2 linked regions of the Rattus norvegicus genome follow. The protein of the gene in region 2 purifies or fractionates together with the protein of the main gene of each other region. This does not show direct contact. Links are inferred from orthologs where the notes say so. Each region holds a gene or a part of one and is shown on either strand. Other genes may lie near its edges.

The links. The genes of interacting proteins can lie anywhere in the genome.
Region 1: the proteins of Slamf6 (region 2) and Sh2d1a purify together in Homo sapiens (co-immunoprecipitation; 5 studies listed by BioGRID and IntAct, with this or other methods). This does not show direct contact. The link is inferred for Rattus norvegicus from reciprocal best matches to the Homo sapiens genes SLAMF6 and SH2D1A.

The regions. Positions count from the first base shown.
Region 1 is NC_086039.1:126,237,522-126,242,670, forward strand, and holds the start of Sh2d1a (SH2 domain-containing protein 1A), read left to right. Parts: upstream 1-1,678; 5' UTR 1,679-1,894; coding exon 1,895-2,031; intron 2,032-5,149.
Region 2 is NC_086031.1:86,914,644-86,920,029, forward strand, and holds the start of Slamf6 (SLAM family member 6), read left to right. Parts: upstream 1-2,312; coding exon 2,313-2,397; intron 2,398-5,386. UniProt on the Homo sapiens protein: Self-ligand receptor of the signaling lymphocytic activation molecule (SLAM) family.

The sequences.
Region 1 (5,149 bases), on a different chromosome or scaffold from region 2:
TTTGCCAAAGACAGGCTCAGGCTTACTGCCTGTGTAGCAGCCAAGCAAAGATGTCAGTATTTTTCATCAACACTGCACTGGTGGGCTGGCACACCTGTCAGTTTGCTTGTGAGGTGACAATAAGGTACTGGATGTGAGAGCTGTACTATTACCTTATAATTTAACTGTTCTCTTTTGATGCGATGTTCGTTGTGCTGAAGCCCACTGTACCTGGCTGCTTTGACAAGTGTGCTATTTTAGCAATGCAGAATGAAACAGAAAGAAAAGAATGCATGGGATGCTGGCTTCGTCAGATCCAGGTTTCTCTGTTCCTATGTTTGTAGATGATTTGTACAGAGTTGTTCAGAGACCAAAAAGAAAATGGTTAGGTTTTGTTTTAAACCTATGTGACACTCAATGTTCTAGCAGTTACACTATAGGTGGGGTGCTGTCCATATGACTCAATAAAAGAGGATCCCCTTTTTCTTTTCATATTTAAAATGCCTCATTGTAATTGATTTCAAAAGTATTAGCTTTGTTTCCAATAGAGTCCTGGTTAGGTGAACCTCTGATGTTTTTAACATGGATGTAGGTAGGCATTTATGTATGAGAATAGAAGTTACAACACAGTTATCAACCCCTGTGCAGTGACGCAAAGTGGATTTTATATTCACAATGATTCTGGCCTAGCCCCATACACCAAAGGGTGCATAGAAGGTCACATACAACAAACTGGACAGAAAACTCCCACAAGCCAGCAGCCCTATAGGAAGAACTACAGGCAGCTGAGTAAAACCGGGTGTAGTGGTCACCGTAGGGAAGGGCATACTAATTGCTCATCCAGTACCAGATGGCTAGCCCTGAAAACGTACATACAAATAGCATTAGACAGATACAACTGTATCTGTGTAACGTGCTCAGGAATTATATGAACATGCATATATGCATGTGATAACGATGCTGAAGGAGAACAGGGTTCGTTCGATGGTGAAAAGGGTGAAAAGGGAAAGAAGAAATGCTTGGATTTTAATAACGATGATGATGATGATGATAACGCGCCAATAGAAGGATTTGCTCTTTTTAAGCCCTTCAGTTATCTGCAATATTTTGTAATACCATGACAATTTTTTTGTGTGTGTGACTAAACTGATACTTTTGGATCTTGGAAAAAAAACATTAAGGTAAAAAATCTTTGCTTGGGCCTAAGTGTATTCAAGGATTTGGCATACGGCTTAGAGGTAGAAAACTTCATCTGGGAGGTCCCGGACTCTGTCATCATTGAAGAAAAGAGAGTTTTTTCAGGAACATCTAGTCCCAAAGTGCACAGTTCAATAGTACTTGGGAATGCTGTGGAAGCTTCAGAGCCAGACTCTGGTTTTGTAGTTGGGCTGTTTTTATGCTTTTGTTTTGTCAGGCCGTTTCTGCCCCTCATGATGACAAGTACCATTTACCTCTATCAGCCATTCTTTTGTTCACCAGTTCAGCCAAGTCATTGCCGAGGGCTTCACAGGTTGCAGGAACCACACAAGAAAAGCCCTATCAAGCTTCTCATCTTTGTGCAAGCTCTGTCTGCATTGCTGGCACAGCTCAAATGCTGCAAGTGTTCACTTTTCCAGTGTGCCCCTCCCCCACCACGAACTCTGTGTTGGAGACTAGGGTGATCAAACCCATGACAAGTTTGAACCTGTTAAACTGCTGAGCTGGCCTTAATTGAAGTGTGAGAAGAGGTTTTAAGGCAGGTAGACAACATCCTGTTGTTAGGGTGCTCATTTCTCTCTCTCTTTTTTTTCATACTGGCTGCCCTGGGAGTCAGGTGGCTGATTGTGCCCAGCAAGCCACTGCAGCAGCAACAGCAGCAGCGCAAAGTCTTCCTCTTACCATCGTCCTTCTGAGCCCATCAAAGAGTTTGCTAGGCATGGATGCGGTGACTGTGTACCACGGCAAAATCAGCAGGGAGATGGGGGAGAAGCTCTTACTCGCTACGGGGCTGGATGGAAGCTATCTGCTGCGAGACAGCGAGAGTGTCCCTGGCGTGTACTGCCTGTGTGTTTTGTGAGTACATCTTGTGGTCATGGCAGGCTTATAGCATGTGTATCCTGCCCTTTCAGGGGAGGTCCGGGGGGGAGTGGCAGGGGAGGGGGTTACAACTCTTGGCAAAGGAACAGAGGGAATACAGGCAGCAGGAACTGAGTACTCTTCCAGTTCTTACTGGCCCAGGACTCTGCCCAGGGGTGTGGCAGGCAGTACTTGGATGTATGTCCCTCCCTGGGGATTTATCTACTGCATTTCCCCAGTTCGGTTGTGGCAGCTTCACTGAATAGCCTTCAGAATGGGAAAACATGGCCTAGAATTTACCTTTACTTTGAGAAAGGCCCATATTCTAGACTTCGGCTCTGGAGCTCTGGGATGTTGGACTATTTTGTCTTCTGGGCCACGAATTAAGGCAAAGGAAAAGCTTTCTCTATCAATCTCTACAAGTGTGATTGAAAATGGTACCCCAAAAGAAAAGCATCTAACAAATGCTCGGAGAAGTGGCCAACCAGGAAATGGAATTCATTATTTTCGGAATGCCCCTCAGGGAAGGCAGAGGCAGACAGATGTGTGTGAGTTACAGGTAGCTACCCTGGTTAACACAGCCGGTTCCATGCCCACCAGGGCTACACAGTGTACGACCCTAATGAACAACAACAAAGAACACTAAAGCAGCACAGCTCTGGAGAGGAAGTGTGTGAAAGAGCAGAGGTGCCTTTCTCGTGATGCTGTTACCTTGCTTATAAGAGGCGGAATGAGTTTAAAAACGTGGTGTGTCCCGTAAAAGATAGGACTGACAATAAATAGTTTTAAAGAGCACAGAAAGAAAACATCATTCTTCTGACCCCACTTTGACCTTTGCCTAGACTGTTCTCAGCCTCTTGCCCCATTTTGAACCAGGTGCAGCTGCATCCTGGCTCCCAACCTCCCCGAGCGAACCCTACCGTAGTTGGACTCTAAAGCTTGTTCTCTCCGAAAATCAGTCTCTTAGCCCTTGATTTTAAATGGGTTTCATATTCCAAGGGATGATGAAGATGATGCCTCCATGTATTAGAAAAGAAAAAGTAAATGCTGGGCTTTGATACTCAACAGATATGTCTGGTTTATTATTGGTCTCTTTTTGGACAAATTATTTCAGTACTTCTTGAGGAAGTCTCCAGAAGGACCCAGTTTAGGCACTACTGTAAGCAGGGTATTCACACACACACACACACACACACACACACACACACACACACACACACACAGCCTCATTCTAGTACAGTACAGTCTACCTAAAAGCAAAAACAAAACAGTGCTTGGTAGTGAGTTCTGTACATGATGATACACTGCAAAAATTTGAAGTAGTTTCTGGGCCAGAAAATAAAGATTAAATTGAGGCTGGTGTGAAAGGATTGTCATTGTATATTGATTTTTTAAAAATGGCCAAGCCTTACTTTTGGCAGTTTGCAGATCATGCCAAATACATTCATCATAAAGGCTTCAAGGTAAATATATGGAAAAATAATTTTTCAGTGTTGGGGAGAGAATCCAAGAATCCAAGATTTTACATGAGCCTCCAAAATGCTTTTTTTTTTTTTTTTACTAAGCTAGACACCCAGCCCTGGGCTTGGACCTTCATGTTCCTAAGTGGATCCCTAAGAAGAGCTGGGAAAGCCAATGACACTCCTTAGGGTATTTTTTTCTTGTGAAAAGATGAAGGATGGTGAGTGAAACAGGTTGCTTTGGACACACTGATAATAGAGGTAGCATGCTCCTTAACCAAAAGGAAAAGATAAAAGTTCAAATGCAGCCTATGTAGGGGAGAGGGCTGGAGACAGTGTACCTCAGATTTGTGCTTTTCATAGCACCCGATCACCTCTGTTAGGTAACTAAGCCTGCTTCCTTCTCAGGATTTTACACCTGTATTCGACATTACATCTCCTGATCATTAACGAACCTAAGTGGCCTCTCTGGGCTGCTACCCGATTACCTTTATTCAAGGAACTTTAAACTTACTAACATTAGCTTGTTTACTTATATGTGGGGTCTACCACAAACTACCTTCATGAAGGAGCAAACATGGTCTCCAGTACCAGGAGCATATCCTGGTACATAATAGGCACTCAGCACACAATTTGGAATTAGATGAACTGTTCAGCCATATTGTACTCTTCATTAGCAAGAGCATCGGGCTAAGAGGCCAGGGTGGGGGCTCTAGGAAGTCACTCAAGTTCTCTGGGGCTTCACCTTACATCTGCGTAAAATAGAAACCGGTTGTTATAAAACATGGTTGTAAGTGAAATCTTGAAGAAAAGAAACCTTGGTGTTTGGGCACATAGGCCGGAACCATGTAAGGAAATTCTCAGCCTTCTGGTTTTCACTGACAGGGGATGCTGTATAAATGTAAGGTGTTTGCTTGTTTCTTTTGTTTTTTGTTTTTGGTTTTTTTTTTTTTTTTTTTGCTTGCTGTTGACCAATTTCATTTTGAAAACCTTTTCCTATAGACGTGGTGAATTCTCTACCTTGAGTCTCTAGCCCTGTTTATGGGTTTTCACAGTTATGGCCAGAAAACTGTGGAGGAAAGAGACAAGAAAAATAAGAGGAATGTTTTCCTCGCCTTTGATAAGTGCTTCAGGTTTTGTTTGTTTTTAGTTGAGTGTCCCCTTGGAGATACACAAACATTTTGTTCTCTCTCACTGGCACTACATGGTATGTGCAACATGTTATTTGGAACATAACGTACTTCCTAACTCAAAATACTGAATTGTAGGATGAAGAGTAGAAAGAAAATAAATCATATATGCATGAAAAAACCTACAACAATGGTGGCTTGCTCAGTGGCATCTTATTCCATGTTTTGTTTATTCTCATTAACCAAGAAGGTGTTCTTAAACTTCAACTCACTCTATTTTTATTGTATGGTTCAAACCATGCTTAAAATTGTCCTTTCAAACAATATGTGCCTCTTTCCTAGAGTGAATCTCAGACATGACCTTTTTGTCCTGTTAGTTTTTCAAAAACAAAATGTTTTAAACAATGTAAAAGTCTCCCATTTCTAGGATTGCTACCCTTCATTTAAAACAAGAAGCGTTTCTTCCAATTGTTTGCTCTAAATAAAAATGAGAATTAAGAGTTCATCAAAATAGTCTCTTCCAAT
Region 2 (5,386 bases):
CTCCTCACTGTCTGATTCTTCTCGGGGGCCAAGACTTTTGGGTTCCAGGAATGGCTCTCTAGCAGAGGACTGATGAACTCTTTTTTCACCAACTAAAAGAAAGGAGGAGGAGGAGGAGGAGGAAGGGAGGAGGAAGAGGAGGAAGAGGAAGAGGAAGAGGAGGAGGAGGAAGAGGAGGAAGAGGAGGAGGAAGAGGAAGAGGAAGAAGAGGAGGAGAAGTCACCATCCTCATTTTCTCTTCTCCTGCCAACCCAGAAGGCGATATGGAGAATAGCATCTCTGTGTCTCTTCTATGGTAATTCCTCCCTCCTGCTGGCAATTCCTTCTGGGCAGAAATTTCGGCCTCAGTTACATCTCTCATGGCATCCGGAGGAGACCAAGAAACTATGTATTTCCATGACCTGCCCTTAATCACATGCCATATTGCCACCTTCAGAAATTACAGCAGATTCTCTAGTCCATCAGCCTCTGTGAGGGTATTCCTGTATTGGAGTGACAGGTCACATTCATAAAAGGGACATGCAGCCATATACCATAGAGGAAGAAGACAGCCGCCCTGGGTTTCCCCTCAGAGACGTGCAGCTTCAGCGGCACGTCTTATTCGTATCAGACACATGACTGCCGCTCCAGCAAGAAGGCACAAGGTCCCATATCACCGCAACAGAGTAACCGTCTGAGGATTGCCACATCAACGCTCCACCTTCAGTTGGATCATTCACTCTTGCCTGTGTCTCACTCATATCAGGGGGTCATATGACCCCCTCCTCTCGGAATCAACTTTCAGCTTCTCCCAATTCAGGCACCAATTTTGACCTTTTTTTTCCTCCCTGGGGAGATTTGAACCGGTCTCTCTAATCACCTCAGATAGGACAGAGAACAGAACAAAGAAACAGATTGGTTCACTGGAGTTACTTACAGGTGCATGGATGAGGGGTTATCTGTAGGCGTAGGGGTGGTTCAAGGGCATTTGCATACCTGGCAGCCCACTCTCAGAGCACCATCAATGATCTAATAGTTTCCCACTAGGACCCACTTCTCAAAGGGGCCGCCAATCTGCACAACACGCTGGAGACCAAGCCTCCAGCACATGCATCTTCTGAGGTCAGAACCACAGGAAGTGGGGGGGAAAAACCCCCGAGCAACATTATAAACCAGTAGGTTCTGACAGACACCACAGAAGATGGCACAGACAAAGTGAATGTTTTCTCAAGTGCATAGACAGGTCACAATGTAAGTCTCCCTAAAATGTTTTAAGCTAAAATGATTCAAGGTATTTCCTTTATTTTTCAATTCATTCTTCTCTCCTATATCACATCCCTGACCCCAGTTTCCCTCCCTCCTCCCGTCCCAGTGTTTCCCCTTCCCCCAACTCCTTTCCTCCCCCCACCCCCACCCCAGTCCTCCCACCACTTCTCAAGGGCAACCAAATAAGGCATATCAAGTTGCAATAAAGCTAGGCACCTCTCCTCATACAGACCAGGCAACCCAGTAGGAGGAAGAGTCCCAAAAGCAGGCAAGAGTCAGAGACGGCCCCCTCCTCGTGGAGTCCTGCTAGAAGAGAAAGCTCCACAGCCTTAATATTACATGCAGAGCGCCTGGGTTAGAACCATGCAGGGTTTCCGATTGCCACTTCGGTCTCTGTGAGCGCCCTATGAGACCAGGTTAATTGATTCTGTAGGTTTTCTTGAGGTCTGTGTCCTTGACCCCTCTGGCTCCTACAATCCTTCCTCCACCTCTTCTGCAAGATTCCCCGAGCTCCCGCCTGATGTTTGGCTGTGGGTCTCTGCATCTATTTCCATCAGGGACTGGCTGAAGCTCCTGCCTACCAGTATAGCAGACTTGTTCGGGGGGGGGGGGGGTTGTTTTGTTTTGTTTGATGTCGTTGGTTCGTTGTTGTTGTTGGTTCGTTTTTTGCCGTTGTGTCTCTGGGCTATTCAGCTCTGCTTCATGGCTTTCCACGGCGTCAGGGATGGGCTCCCCTTAAACCGGACCAGTCATTGATTGGCCACTCCCACAGTTTCCGTACCACCTTTACCCCCAGCACCTTTACCCCCTTGTAGGCAAGACAAGTCATAAGTAGAAGGTTTTGTGGCTGGGTTGGTGTCCCAGTCCCTCCATCAGAAGTCTTGCCTATTTACAGGAGATGACCCATTCAGGCTCCATGTTCCCTACTGCTAAGAGTCTCAGCTTATGCAAGATACTCTTGTAAGCAAAGTGTGTTAAACACTGATAACCAAGGGTTTGCCAACATAGAGGAAGAACTCTCTTGTAACTAGGGGAACGGGAAGTCTCAGCGACAAGCTTATGAGAGAATGGCTGTCTCAAGGGCTCCAGCACACGACTCGGCTCGTCAGAGGATGGTCTGGCTGTTTCCACTTGTCTTCTGCCTCGGCACAGGTAAAAATGTGTGTGGAAATGGATGAAGTCGCTGAGTGAGTTCCTTCTTTGGGCCGCCTTGCTCATCTTGATCAGGCTGACTGCCAGGTTCTCTGTTCAGAGACTTAGGAAGTTCACATTGGTCCTAGCAAACTACTTCCTTCCATCAGACTGCTTGGGGACTGATTTAGGGCAAACATTTCAGCTGGAGCTGAGAGGAAGGGAAATGTTTTCTGAGGTATGGAAAATGAGTCTTTGTAAGTCAGGACTGTTCGTGACCAGCATGTTATGGTACAAAACTAAGTTTAAGGGGTAAAAAAAAAAATCTACAATTTAACTACTGTGATGCTGTGTAACTTCAGGGGGATTCATGATCTTTTCTGAGTTTCACTCTTCACACAAATATTGAAAACCCCCGCAATGTTTTCACACTGCAATTAGGAAGGGATTGAATGAGCCTGCGTCTCCTCCCTCCTACCTGTTACATGGATAGCAGGAAGGTTCACACTGTGTTTGAGAACTCAGAGGGTGTGCATCTGGACTGAAATGTAGTGTTCTAGGACAGGAGATCAAGCAAAGGCTGCTAACACAGACCTAGCCCCGAGGGAAATCATTGGGAAAAAAAAGGCGACTAGCATTTATTTTATTCCAGAAAATGGACTAGTTATTAAACATGCATTACGTTTAGATGTCTCATAACCTATTTGTGAATGTATTCTATTAATAGCTACAAGGAACTTGACTAAGACATTTTAAATAACTTGCCAAAATTCTATTAGTCATCAGGAAAAAAATAAAAAATAAAAACGAATCACTTGACAGAAACTGTCGGTAACACACACATGGGAGCATGCACAGAGAAGTGAACACATACTGCACAGACAGAACTAAGTAGACAAATCGACAACAGACATAAAAAGGAAGCAAGGTTCATTAAGGCATTTGATAACCATTCATTAGATGGCTACTGAATGCCTGACACGGTAGGAGTTTCAGGAACTAAGTCAGCGCAATTTCTGTTCTTGTGGATAAACTATAAACAAGTAAAATGCACCAGCTTAGGACAAATAATTTTGAAAAAAATAAGCAGAGAGGGGCGGGGAGGGAGAACATAATGTCACATCGTAGGTTGGACAGTCAAAGAGAGGGATAGAGTTGGGGTGGAGGAGCAGCCACGGGAGGAAGGTCATTTCCTCTTTGGATCTATTTTGTTTTACGTTATCAATACACTGGCCAAGAGGAAGTTTCCTGGAAGCAGGTGAAAACTGAGGCATTAGGCTGAGAACCGAGACTACCTCAAACTAGGAGGATGAGGGATTGAGGACAGAACTTTGGGAAATGCATAGAAGATGCAGAAAAAGATGAGAATTATTTAACTCCCATCCATCCATGTTGCCACTTCTCAGCCCAATTCCAGCCAGCGACTTGAGGTTTTAACCTCACTTTTTTACCTCTATGTCAAGACCAGTCAGACCCACCCCTCCCTCAGGACTTAGAAGTGATTAATGGTTGGCTGGGGAGGGAAAGACATTTTCCTAGGTAGTGTGGCCACTTGTAAGATGTCCTTGCCTCTGTACATAGCCCTTTCCCCCATGCTCCTATGAGCAACCCTAAGAAACTCATTGGCTTATCAGAGAAAGAAAAAAAAAAGAAAGGAAGGAAGGAAGGAACTGAAGGACTGGATTATAAAACTGGATAATTTCTGTGTGTTCCTCCTCCGCATCTCTGAGGGTTCTTCTTCTAACACCGCTGTGAAATATCAGACTCAGCCACCATCTGCAGATGTGCATAGAAGAGGCCGACAGAGCCTAAGTAACAGTTTACTGCCACACAGCTGTGGGGGAGGGGTATGAAGAAAAGAACATGGTTTTGACTTCGTCTTCCTGAGATAGATGCAGGTGGCCAAAAACCCCTCAGTGGAGCGGAACTGTGGTTACCAGGGTGGAAAGTGGCGGGTCTGGTTCCAGGGTACAACTAAGCAGGGGACACCAAAAATAGGAGAACCTCTCTGGACTGGGTGGTGAGGAAGAACTTTCTGGAATAGGTGAAATGATGTGAGAAATGAAATAGGATTCTAATAAAGAAGCATGGGAGGGAGGCGGAAGTGTAGAAGGGGAGAGTTGGGAAGGATTGAGGAAAGATGAGACCACCCCAGCAAGTATGTAGGCCAAAGAGATGCTCTCTGAGAAGAAGATGACTCACTCACTCACTACACGTTTTCATGTAGGTGAGACACATCCTGATTCCATTTCAGAGTCTCAGCTCAAAGATAAACCAAGTTGCAAAACGTTCATGTGCATGTACAGTGCTAATTTGTTCTGTGTGTTTACAAATGATGTGTGGCGGTGAGAGGTGGACATCCATTGTGTATCTTTCATGACTGCTCCTCTGCCTTTAGTCTTTTGAGACAGGACTCTCAGTGAACTTGAAGCTTGTTCCTTTGGCTGGGCTGACTGGCCAGTAAGCCCCTCGGAACCTCCTCCCTCCCCAGTGCTGAGATTAGAGCAATAGGTCGGTTCACTTGGCTGCTGGGATCTGAATCTAGATGGCCCTTTGCCATCACATCAGCCCCCTTCATTCCCTTTGTCTCATTTCCTTGGAGGCAAAGCTAACCCGCCATGTGACATGACAGTTCTACTCTTCAGGGCACAGCAGGTCCTCTTCCATTACCTGCACACGATTAGGCCTAACAACATCCCGCCATGAAGGAAGGACCAGTCCTTCATGTCAAGACCAATCAGGTCTACCCCTCCCTCAGGACTTAGAAGTGATTAATGGTTGACTGGAAAGGGAGAGACCTTTTCTTAGATAGTGTGGCCACTTGGAAGATGTCCTTGCCTCTGTACATATCCATTTCCCCCATGTTCCTATGAGCAACCCTGAGAAACTCATTGGCTTATCAGAAAAAGGAAAAAGGGAGGGAGGAAGGAAGGAAGGAAGGAAGGAAGGAAGGAAGGACTGAAGGACTGGATTAACTCACGAAGGGGTCAAAAGAAAATAACTAAGGTAA